2 linked regions of the Saccharomyces cerevisiae S288C genome follow. The protein of the gene in region 1 binds, or shares a complex with, the protein of each later gene. Each region holds a gene or a part of one and is shown on either strand. Other genes may lie near its edges. The genes, in order: MYO4 and SHE3. A codon is read from its position in the direction of its gene.

Region 1 (6,739 bases):
TCTATAAGAAAGATCGTCAAAAGTATTAGTTAAACATTGAAAATTTGCGCCAAAGACATAGCAAGCGCAACGTATTCATTGTCCATGTCGTCATCTACTCCCTTTGACCCTTATGCTCTATCCGAGCACGATGAAGAACGACCCCAGAATGTACAGTCTAAGTCAAGGACTGCGGAACTACAAGCTGTAAGTACAGAAAGCCACAGAGTACCATCTAGGAAATTAACATTATACTAACTTTCTACATCGTTGATACTTATGCGTATACATTCATATACGTTCTTCGTGTTTATTTTTAGGAAATTGATGATACCGTGGGAATAATGAGAGATAACATAAATAAAGTAGCAGAAAGAGGTGAAAGATTAACGTCCATTGAAGATAAAGCCGATAACCTAGCGGTCTCAGCCCAAGGCTTTAAGAGGGGTGCCAATAGGGTCAGAAAAGCCATGTGGTACAAGGATCTAAAAATGAAGATGTGTCTGGCTTTAGTAATCATCATATTGCTTGTTGTAATCATCGTCCCCATTGCTGTTCACTTTAGTCGATAGAAGTTCACTCGCAATGCTATATATATAGGGAGCTTCCATATGTAGTGTAGGATATATGTATATATACATATATACATATATGGGCGTATATTTACTTTGTTCTTATTTTCTGTCTAATTTTATAATTTTACTGACAGTAGCTAAGCCCTCTGTATTGCTGTTCTGTGTTATTGCACTAGTGTCATAACGCAGATGGTTTTTAGCAGAGTCAAATTGGGCAGAAAGCATAATTTCCATCTTCCCTGGCAAAGACAGATTTTCTCTTTTGATCACGTTAGCTAAATAATTCAAGATTTCGTTCGGTACTCCAGCTTCGCCCTTGTTAGCAGGCTTGTATTTCAACAGAATTGCTTGTATTTGGGCTGGATTCAAGGCATACCAGAAATCGAATAGTAACTTGAACTCGTTCAAGTTGCTTATCTTCAACTGTAATATCTTGACAGCCTGAATTATTTGAATCAAATTGGGACGAACGTCTTCAATTCTTGGTTCAAACCAGCTCACCAACCGCTCGATATTTCTATCCACTTCGTACCCATACTTCCAATTTAACGCGGGACATTTGGTTATTAGGTCATTAAATAGCATTACGTTCAGATACTTCAGGGTGTCGTTAAAAATTTTTGTATGCATTGAGTCAACAACTTGAAATTTACACAAGACAGCATCAAATTCATTTAAGAATGTGAATAATTTAGCGAACTTCTCATCACCAGAATTTTTAAATAGCTTCTCGTTTAAAACCATATCGAAGATCTCGATGTGGGCTGAAGCATGCTTCATGAATTTCACTAACCAAGTGGAATAAATCTTGTCGAATACTTTTAAAGTTTCATTCTCCAAATCATTCAAATATATCAGTGTTAACTTATCTTTTTCATCACCACCATTCGCTTCATATAATGTTTTTTGATTTGCAGCAAATGCGGGAAGTCTGGAAAGATTACTTAACCAAAAGATACCACCAAGCATTGTTTCGTCCTTTGGTAGACTCATAACAATGCTTTCTACAGTCAATAGGACTTTCGAGATGAATTTGCTACTTTGAATCAATAACCCATTTCTCACTAAGCTACTTACCACTGTAGTAATGACGTGTATAGGACCCAGAACATTGTCTCCATTCACCTCAGTAACATTTACTTTTTTCAAGTAACCTTCTGTGACTTCTAATGTGTAACAATTCAGGTCCATTAGTAATTCTAGAAGATCAGGATTTCCTGATTCTCTACGAATTACATTGACTAGCTTCGGTTTTACTTGTTGTCCTGCGATTCCCAAACCTTTCACTTTATCATTCTTATTAGCAGAATATGTGGTGGTGAAATCTTGTGCTATTACGTTTTCAATAAACGCTAGTTCTTGCTTCATTGATTTGACTTCATCACTTAATCTTGAAGGTTTGTTACCTTTTATAGCAGCCAAACTTTGCATATGTGACTGTATTAAAGAAGATTGCTTCTTTTTTCTCTCCTTCAAGGCATTCTTCTTGTTTAAAGTATTCATGATTTCAACTTGTAACGTCTTCAGCTTGGAAATCTTATCATTATAACCATTTACTATCGTTTCGTACTCTTGCCTTTGCTTAGATGGAATATTTGACAAATCTCCCTGCAACAACTGTGTTAATCTTGTATATGAGTCATTTAACATCTCTAGATTCAAAATGAAAGAGTTCTTAAATTCGATAGCTTCCTCCAGTAATCCAATCCCGTAACTAGCCCTAATATTCCGTTCTTCAACTTCTTTTTGCAGAACTATATACCTTCGTCTAGCTAACTGCATTCTCATGGCGCTTTGTACAAGAATGGAGCTCCTTTTCAATGTTCTGTAATCTGTTTTGTGACCATATGATCTGATGTAGCTTTGGATAATTACTGCCGCCATGAGCATGAATTTCCTGTTAACACTATCTAAAATCAATTTTCTTTTACAGGTACATTGTAGTTTTATTATTTGCCCAATGGCAGCTCTATAGTATTCCCGTTTCCATAATGCTCTAATGTTCGTTTGTAGTAATATGGCAGCTCTTGTCTTGAGCTCATGATCGACCCTTGTACGAACCAACAAACTTCTAATTTGGCTTTGGCACTTCTTTATTGATTCCATGGTCTGCAAATACTGAAGCCTATAGTATCTTGCCCTTATCTTTTTCTGTATTATGATGCATATTTCATTCATTTTATTAGTCCTTAGCTTTTCCAAAAATGCAAGCATTCCTGCTTTAAAGAAAATTTTGGTATTACCAATTTGGTATTTTGCTGAATCAGAGATAGTAGCATCTAGAATAGATTGACAGAAGTTGACGATTGCCTCTTTTGGGAGGTCTGGATTATAAAGAATTCCACTCCATAAGCTGTAGTCCGTCAGGAGGAAATATCTTTGAACGAATTCGTCAAAAGTCCATCTTGATGGAAAGCCTGCACATGAAATCCTGATTGTTTCCAGCACACCACAAGCTCTTAATTGCGATAAGACCATCAAATTATCGAACTCCCATGGCTTTTTTTCAGAATTTGGTTTTATGCAACGAATATAATGAACATTAGTAGAATTTATGATGGCCATCAATTCCCCGAGCGATTTTTTGAACATAGATCCCAGGGTTGGTTTCTTTTGACTTAATCTTGCTGGGATCATTATCTTTTTTTCAGTATTTTGCTCTTCAGGAGCATCGTCACTCCTAAGTTCTCTGTTGTCTAAAATTTGTTTGAAAATTGGATTTGTCGTTGCTTTGAAAACATCCAGATGACCTAGGGAAACGCTGTCTCTATTCTTTTCAATAAACCCTTCAACTTCATATTCTACATCAACAGCATAATGGCTTACTATAAACTTCGTTTGTCCGAATCTTGGCTTCGAAAAAACTTCATTTGAGGGCGGTTTATTAAAGGCAGAATATAGTTTTGAGGCCCATGATTCATCTGAGCCTGATGGTAATCTACTTTCTTCATCTAATAGAGAAAGTATTCCAAGTTTATTCTCAATCAAGTCTATGCAAGGTTGGTTGTCGCTGAACTCAATGAAAGACCACTCAATTTCCTCCTTTACATATTCTTCTTGCTCCAATTTGAAAACGTGCTGGTTGAACTCTTGTTGTAATTTTTCATTCGCATAGTTTATACAGAATTGTTCGAATGAGTTTTTCTCAAAATGCTCAAACCCGTAGATATCTAAAATACCAATAAAGGAAAAGACATGATCTTGTTGATCCAGCTCAGGATCGTATAATGTCTTGTTAATGTTGTCTACTAGCCAATCAAAAAGCGTGGAATAAATAAATTTCGCCACAGAGTCCCTAGCAATTAGCGCTTGATTGTAATTCAAATTAGTGACAATTTTTTCAGACCTTGTGACGATTTGTTTCTTGACAATCCATTTTGCAAAATTGAAGGGATCAATACCCAATAATTCACATGCGATTTGCAGGTTTTGCTCTTCCGATGATAGTGATGCGTCGTTTCTAGTCATTTTCATCTCGATATTACCTATATGTAGCAAGCCTGCAAGAATTTTGAAAATTCCAAGCTGAGTCTCGTGGTTTATACCTACTAATGACAGGGCATCAGTGGTTATCTTGTATTCTCGAGCTTCATCTATACCAGCTATGTTCGGCTGTCCACCTTGGTTAGTATAATGGTAGTCCTTGGGAGATGACAAATGCAGTTCTTGTTTTACCGGTTCTGGCAATCCTTCCAAAATTTGGTAAAAAATATGGTAATTTCTTTCTGTCTCTGGCTGATAAACTAACCTGGATTTTTCCAAGAGATAGGTTCTAATTTTGGACCCCCTGATGGTAGTATTCTCATCAAATAAAATTTGCAGATATTTGCCGAAACGAGAGGAATTATCATTTCTGGTAGTTTTGGCGTTACCAAAGGCTTCCATGATCGGGTTAGTAGCTAAAATTTGGCTCTCGATTTGAGACATTTCCACTTCCCCTTCACGATTGTTGCTTTCTTGGACTGAGGCAAAGTATCTCATAATGTATTTAGCAGAGACGGTCTTACCAGCACCGGATTCACCACTGACTACAACAGTCTGGTTAGCCTTTTCATGGACCATGAACCTGTACGCCTCCTCTGCTATGGCAAAAAGGTGCGGCTCCAGCTCATCTTTACGCTTACTAGAATAATTCTGTATCATCTCGCGAGAGTACAAATGGTCGACTTTATCAAAGGGATTAGCGGCAATAAGGACAATACCAGAGTAAGTATATATCTGTCCATTCATGTATCTTTTTTTTATGGCATGCAGCACTGCCGGTTCGTTCAGATATGATAGGGTGGTTAAGTCATCAGTAGACTCTAAAATAGGTGGGTTTCGTAGTACAGGTAGCGTGGGATGATCATCATCATTTTCGAAGCTATTTGTTTCAATGGATACAGTTTCTCCATCCTCCAATTTCAACTCTAAGTGGAACGTTCCTTCAAAGAAGTCATTCTTGGTGACTTCGCCGCCTATCCAGCCTTGTTCTTTGTGAGGGTACCAACACTTAGTTCCTACTTCAAATGACATGCGGGAGAACTGGTTATAGGATTTTTTTTGTTTTTTTGTGTTTTAGAATTAGATTGAATTATAAAAAGAAGAACAAAAGGGTATCGTATTGAAAATAAATTGTCTCGCCAAACTGGTAACAATGTTTTCAGCTAGAACAATAAGAAAAGAAGAGAAGGTAAAAAAAAAGGTGATAACTCCGTAGGAATTGAGGAATTGAGTATGCAGAATCAGAATAAAGGCTGACTTTCAAAAAAAGGTTGTATTACAATTGCAGGTTTTCGATAAAAGAGACCCTATTCTCATCTACTACTGCTAAACTTCGAGATATTTTCGAATTTTTCAGTCTTTTCTTTTTTTTTTTTCGCATTAGTTCAGAACCCTAAAGAATGGTAAACATTCTATGGATAACCCGGAGAGTGAGTTTCTTAAAGACCTAGTTTTATTTTAAGGGTTTTAACTCAATCTTGATGTTTTCATTGTGTACCCTAAAGAAAGTTTAAGAATAGCCCTAACTGTTACCTTTTGAAATAAAATAAGGGGAAGGTCAAAAAGCTATTGTTCTATTGTTATGAAACATTGTCTCAAAGAGTAAGAATAACACAAATTGATGGCAGTTTTTTACGTAGTCCAGTAGTTGTCCAGGTACAATGCAAAATGCTCAAATAAAGAGCTCTTCTAAAGGCAGCGGAATAGATGGTACAGATCGCAATAGCAAAGATGGTGTAGAAAAGAGACCCCTGGAAGATGTAAAGCAAATGATTGACGCTGGAACACCAGATGTTGGCCACAAATCTACTGTTGAAACTAAGCCAAACGTTGGATGGCAAGCCTCTCACAGTAATTTGGCTGCATTACACGAAAAAGAGCAGAAATATGAAATGGAGCACCATCATGCTCGTCATAAACTGCATCGTCAAGTTATTCCGGATTACACGTCTGCCTCGACCGCAATGTTCAGCGATTGTATGTTCAACGCAGCACCAGATAAAGTACGAAGTCTCAGTACGATGAAGTCTTCTGGACTCTCGCCAAAACACCCATTTAACGTAGTCGCCACCTTTAAAGGACCATTCCCGCAGCATAGTGTAGAATCAAAGCCTCTCGATGGTGGATACTCTGCCAAAGACCATTTTCCCTCATTTAAGATGTTGCAAGCCCAGCAGCACCCAGCCCATCGCCATTACAAAGACAACGACAAGTACGGTCTTAAATCACCTTCCCGGTCCTTCGTGAAGGACAAGAAAAGGTTGGTTCACCGGTTTTTGAAATCCATGGAGCCTTCTTCGTCTGGGCAATCTAAGGATTCGTCTGCACTGGCGCCGGCTTTCGATCCAATATTGCCCAATGTTATATCTAAGCCTTCCAAGCGACCCACACATCATTCGCATTCATCAGACGGGAGTTCTAGCACGCAGACAGATATATCGTTACAGAGCTTGCTTTACCATGATCTTGAAAGCTCACCAAAGAAACATGTTTCGCCCTCAAGACCGCCCTCTGTAGCTTCCGAATCCTCTCCTGCCGTTGCTAATCCCATTGGGCTTTCGCCAAAAGACGCCTGCAATGCATCGTTTTCGCAGTCGTCCTCATCTTCGTTGTCTTCTTCTTCATCGTCTTCATCATCGACGTCATTCTCACAGTCAGTGGCTGTTGATCCTCTTGAACCTCCTGGAAATATCACATATAGT
Region 2 (3,858 bases), on another chromosome or scaffold:
TTAAAATCTCATTGTTTAGGCATTCCATACTCTGACACAATTGGAAGCTCAAGTCCTTTAGATAGTCTCTTTCACAAATCTTGTTGAAGTCCGGATCACAGACAATTACAATTAAAAAATCATCAAAGTACCAAAATAGGCAATTATAAAAATCCTCCTTGTCTTTGGAGTTTTCAAAGTTCAAATTCAGTTTCAGGGCTTGGTATGATGATGGCAACAGGTCTGAATTCAATGGGGAAATTAGGAAACCAAATCTCGAGTTGCCTATCGTCCCTCCAACAGCCTCTGATTGCGCCATCAGTGGGGCATTCGAATTTGCGTTATCATTGCTATTTGAGTAATTATTTTTGTCGGCACTTTTGTTAGAGGATGAAATGAACGGCCAATGGGGCTTCGGTACATAGTCCATTATCATGGATAAGCTACCCGAAACACCAGTCGTGGTACTCACTTCATGTATAGCGTCGTATGCAAAAGAAATGGGGAGTGTTACGTTGTGTATCACTCTTTCCGATAGAGAGAGTTCGCTTGTATTGTTTTGCGTAGTCTCTTGGTGCTCCCGTCGCTGTTGCTCCTGTGATTCCTCTTCGTCTCTTCCGTTTGTATCACGACTTCGCTCTTGTTCTTCTTCTACTTGTAGCTCCTCTTTAAAATGGACATTTCCTGTTAATATATGACTTGATATTTCACCATAGGTGCAGTGCAAATGATATAGCCAATTTGAGATATCTGGTAATGTGTTCAGGTCACTGGTAAAGTTCCTTACTAGTCCATAAGTTTTTGTTCCCATAGACTCCCTATTAGCCGCTTTGGTGCGCTTTGGTAGGTGGTAAACCAAAATGTCCTTTAGTCCTAGATAACTCTTTTTATCTAAAAGAATATTCTGCAAGATTATAGCGTCCCATGACTCTTCGACATTATTTTTTTCTCCAGGATTATAAGAGGAATGTTGAAAATTTGCCCTTTTATAAAAACCAGGCCACATTACAGTAAATGATCTATTCGTTACAGTTTCTAGATTCAAATAAATATCATTCCAGAACGGAATAACGAATTCGTTCAACAAATCCGTGAGTTTGCGGAAGTCCTTGTTAAATCCGCTGAATGACCCATTGAGTAGCTTGAAGAACCTGTAACTAAGCCATAAGTAAGCACTGAGATACTGTAAAGGTATGGCACTCTGATCGTCGCTGATATTCGAAATTGCTAGACTGATGAAAAATCTTGATTCCACCTTAATACAAAAAATAATATCATTGTTCAGCTCAATAATTTTCTCTAAATCTTCGCCGTCCTTGTTTACGCATGAACTCGTAAGTGACCAAATGCCCTGTATTACTCCTATGATGGACAGTTTTTCGTTTAAAGAGGGTATTGAATCAGTAGTGCCAAAATAATGGAACAGCAGCAACTGCTTGAAAGTGTCATTTTCGTTGGTAGATCTTGATGGATCAAAAACCGTAATATAGTGTAGTCTCATATCCGTCTTTCATATATCAATTTAATAGTTGTACGATTTAGAATGTATTTTTGGTTCCACGTCAAATGAAACTATTTCCCTATTGCTACTACATATTATTGTCATCGCAATAAAATAGGCTAAATAGTTACCCGCTCGTTTCGTCTTTTGTTCGGGCGAGAGCTTCATTACTAACTACTATTGCATTTTGTTTATTGATTTGTTGCCATGAGTAGCAGCAGTCTGAAGGGGTTACCAAACGTTAGCTCGTCTATCAAGCACGCCAAGGTTCAACGACACTACTTTTGTGTAAGATGTCGGACCAGGATAATACCCAGACTTCTTCAAGCAAGTTGGCACCTCACCATAATATTTTTATGGCAAACTTGGAAAGTTCCCCCACAAAAGATAGAAATACCTCCAGCCAAAATGCCTCATCTTCGAGAGTCATTGAATCACTGCATGACCAGATTGATATGCTGACAAAAACAAATCTACAATTGACTACGCAATCTCAAAATTTATTGAGTAAATTGGAATTAGCACAATCCAAAGAATCAAAACTACTGGAAAATTTAAATCTGCTGAAGAACGAGAACGAAAATCTCAACTCGATATTTGAAAGAAAGAACAAGAAGCTAAAAGAGCTAGAGAAAGATTATAGCGAATTGAGTAACCGTTACAATGAACAAAAGGAGAAAATGGATCAATTGAGTAAATTGGCGAAAAATTCTAGTGCCATTGAACAATCTTGCTCTGAAAAATTGCAAAATATGGAAGTTAACTATAATTCATTATTGGAGTCACAAAATCTTTACAGAGACCACTATTCTGATGAAATTTCCAAATTAAATGAAAAAATCGGTTTGTTGGAGTTAGAGTTAAGTAATCAAAATTTAAATTATGGTTCAGATACTAGTTCAAATTCAGATATAGAATTGAATTTAAATAAATTCAATGACTCTGTGAAAGATTTGAAATCTCTGGAAACAGAAAAGGATTCAAAATTAAGCAAGATAATCACTCACTCTTTAGATGAGTTAAATCTACAAAGCTGGCTAAATCTGTACCAGACGAACGAAAATCTGATATCAACTTTTGCTGAAAAGATGGATTTGAAAGACGTCTTGAAAAGAAACGATGAGAAGATTAGTAATAAAGGCGCGGTAGTACAAACCTTGAAGAAGAATGTACAAACCCAGGTGGAAAGCAACAACGCTGACGCTTTGAGTAGCAATAATGCACAGGATATGCTTCCTATTAAGATGGTCAAATTAAGAAAGACGCCGAACACAAACGATTCATCCTCCAATGGTAATAGCAGTAACAATAAAAGAAGAAGTTTCTATACTGCGTCGCCTTTGCTGTCATCGGGTTCTATTCCAAAATCTGCATCCCCGGTTTTGCCTGGTGTTAAAAGAACTGCCTCAGTAAGAAAACCAAGCTCGAGCAGTAGTAAAACAAATGTAACGCATAATAACGATCCAAGTACATCTCCCACAATCTCAGTGCCTCCCGGTGTTACAAGAACTGTTTCCTCCACTCATAAGAAAAAGGGAAATAGTATGGTTGTTCACGGGGCCCAATCCTAGAATATGCCGACACAAGGGAGTATATATATAGGATTCATTTAGATAATAGAACAAAAGTAAATAGATGCCTCTAAGGTTTTATAGACACGAATCCATATTTTTCACTTTCGGTCACTCACAACGGTTTTTTCTCTACTATAATGTGGCTGAAATTAAACGAACAGGCCAAAATGTGGTACGCAATAGTAGCCAGTAGGTGAATTAACCATAAATAATTACGCTAATTTTGCCTTGGTAAATTTCATAAGACCAATGATAGCAGGTGCGACTGCTCCGTCAAGTCAGCATGAAATTTTGATCGCATCGAATCTCATCAAGAAGCCATCAACGTCTCAAAATAAAACGCCGACAGCTCAATCCAGTTCAGGTAACAATGGAGCTGCTGATGGTGCACCGCAGGGTTACCATCATCACCATCATCACCATCGTCATTTATGGTGGCCTCGGACAACAGACCATCAATATTGGTGTGTCTTGAGGAAAAACCAATTTGCCTATTACAAAACTCGGGATGAAAGAGAGGCTATAAGTGTCATACCGAGATTTGACATACTTAATTTTAAGATAAGCGAGCTCGATGGTATATTAACTGTTTATACTCCATCCAAGGATTTAATATTCAAATTTCCACGAGGGCAAAATGAGAAGGTTGGTATGGAACTGATGCATAATTGGAAAATTGCCCTTGAAAAATTCCTCTCTAGTCCTAGTGGCAACGAAAGTGTCACTACAGGTAGTGATTATGATGAAGAAGAGGATGATGATGATTTAATTGTAGTTGACGAAAAGGCGGGTCCTTCTAGCAGC

What was found.
Region 2: the proteins of MYO4 (region 1) and SHE3 are in contact, whole or in part, in a crystal structure (PDB 4LL8), measured with the Saccharomyces cerevisiae proteins. Residues at the interface, in NP_009373.1 of Saccharomyces cerevisiae: Leu1043 (codon at 1,943), Ser1044 (codon at 1,940), Val1047 (codon at 1,931), Met1050 (codon at 1,922), Lys1051 (codon at 1,919), Leu1054 (codon at 1,910), Ala1055 (codon at 1,907), Ile1057 (codon at 1,901), Glu1058 (codon at 1,898), Ile1061 (codon at 1,889), Trp1325 (codon at 1,097), Tyr1329 (codon at 1,085), Arg1350 (codon at 1,022), Ile1354 (codon at 1,010), Gln1358 (codon at 998), Lys1361 (codon at 989), Ile1362 (codon at 986), Gln1364 (codon at 980), Leu1365 (codon at 977), Lys1366 (codon at 974), Leu1376 (codon at 944), Asp1378 (codon at 938), Phe1379 (codon at 935), Tyr1381 (codon at 929), Glu1402 (codon at 866); in NP_009688.3 of Saccharomyces cerevisiae: Glu149 (codon at 2,218), Gln152 (codon at 2,227), Asn153 (codon at 2,230), Val156 (codon at 2,239), Asn157 (codon at 2,242), Ser160 (codon at 2,251), Leu161 (codon at 2,254), Glu163 (codon at 2,260), Ser164 (codon at 2,263), Gln165 (codon at 2,266), Leu167 (codon at 2,272), Tyr168 (codon at 2,275), His171 (codon at 2,284), Tyr172 (codon at 2,287), Glu175 (codon at 2,296), Lys178 (codon at 2,305), Leu179 (codon at 2,308), Lys182 (codon at 2,317), Ile183 (codon at 2,320), Leu186 (codon at 2,329), Leu190 (codon at 2,341), Gln193 (codon at 2,350).

The regions. Positions count from the first base shown.
Region 1 is NC_001133.9:87,202-93,940, forward strand, and holds MYO4 (myosin 4), read right to left. Parts: upstream 5,070-6,739; coding exon 654-5,069; downstream 1-653. Other genes in the region: SNAP receptor SNC1, read left to right, coding at 85-186, 300-551; FRT2 (Frt2p), read left to right, coding at 5,699-6,739. UniProt on the Saccharomyces cerevisiae protein: Part of the mRNA localization machinery that restricts accumulation of certain proteins to the bud and in the daughter cell. Recruited to specific mRNAs including the ASH1 mRNA, coding for a repressor of the HO endonuclease, via its interaction with SHE3.
Region 2 is NC_001134.8:494,785-498,642, reverse strand, and holds SHE3 (She3p), read left to right. Parts: upstream 1-1,773; coding exon 1,774-3,051; downstream 3,052-3,858. Other genes in the region: CCZ1 (Ccz1p), read right to left, coding at 1-1,480; OPY1 (Opy1p), read left to right, coding at 3,304-3,858. UniProt on the Saccharomyces cerevisiae protein: RNA-binding protein that binds specific mRNAs including the ASH1 mRNA, coding for a repressor of the HO endonuclease. Part of the mRNA localization machinery that restricts accumulation of certain proteins to the bud and in the daughter cell.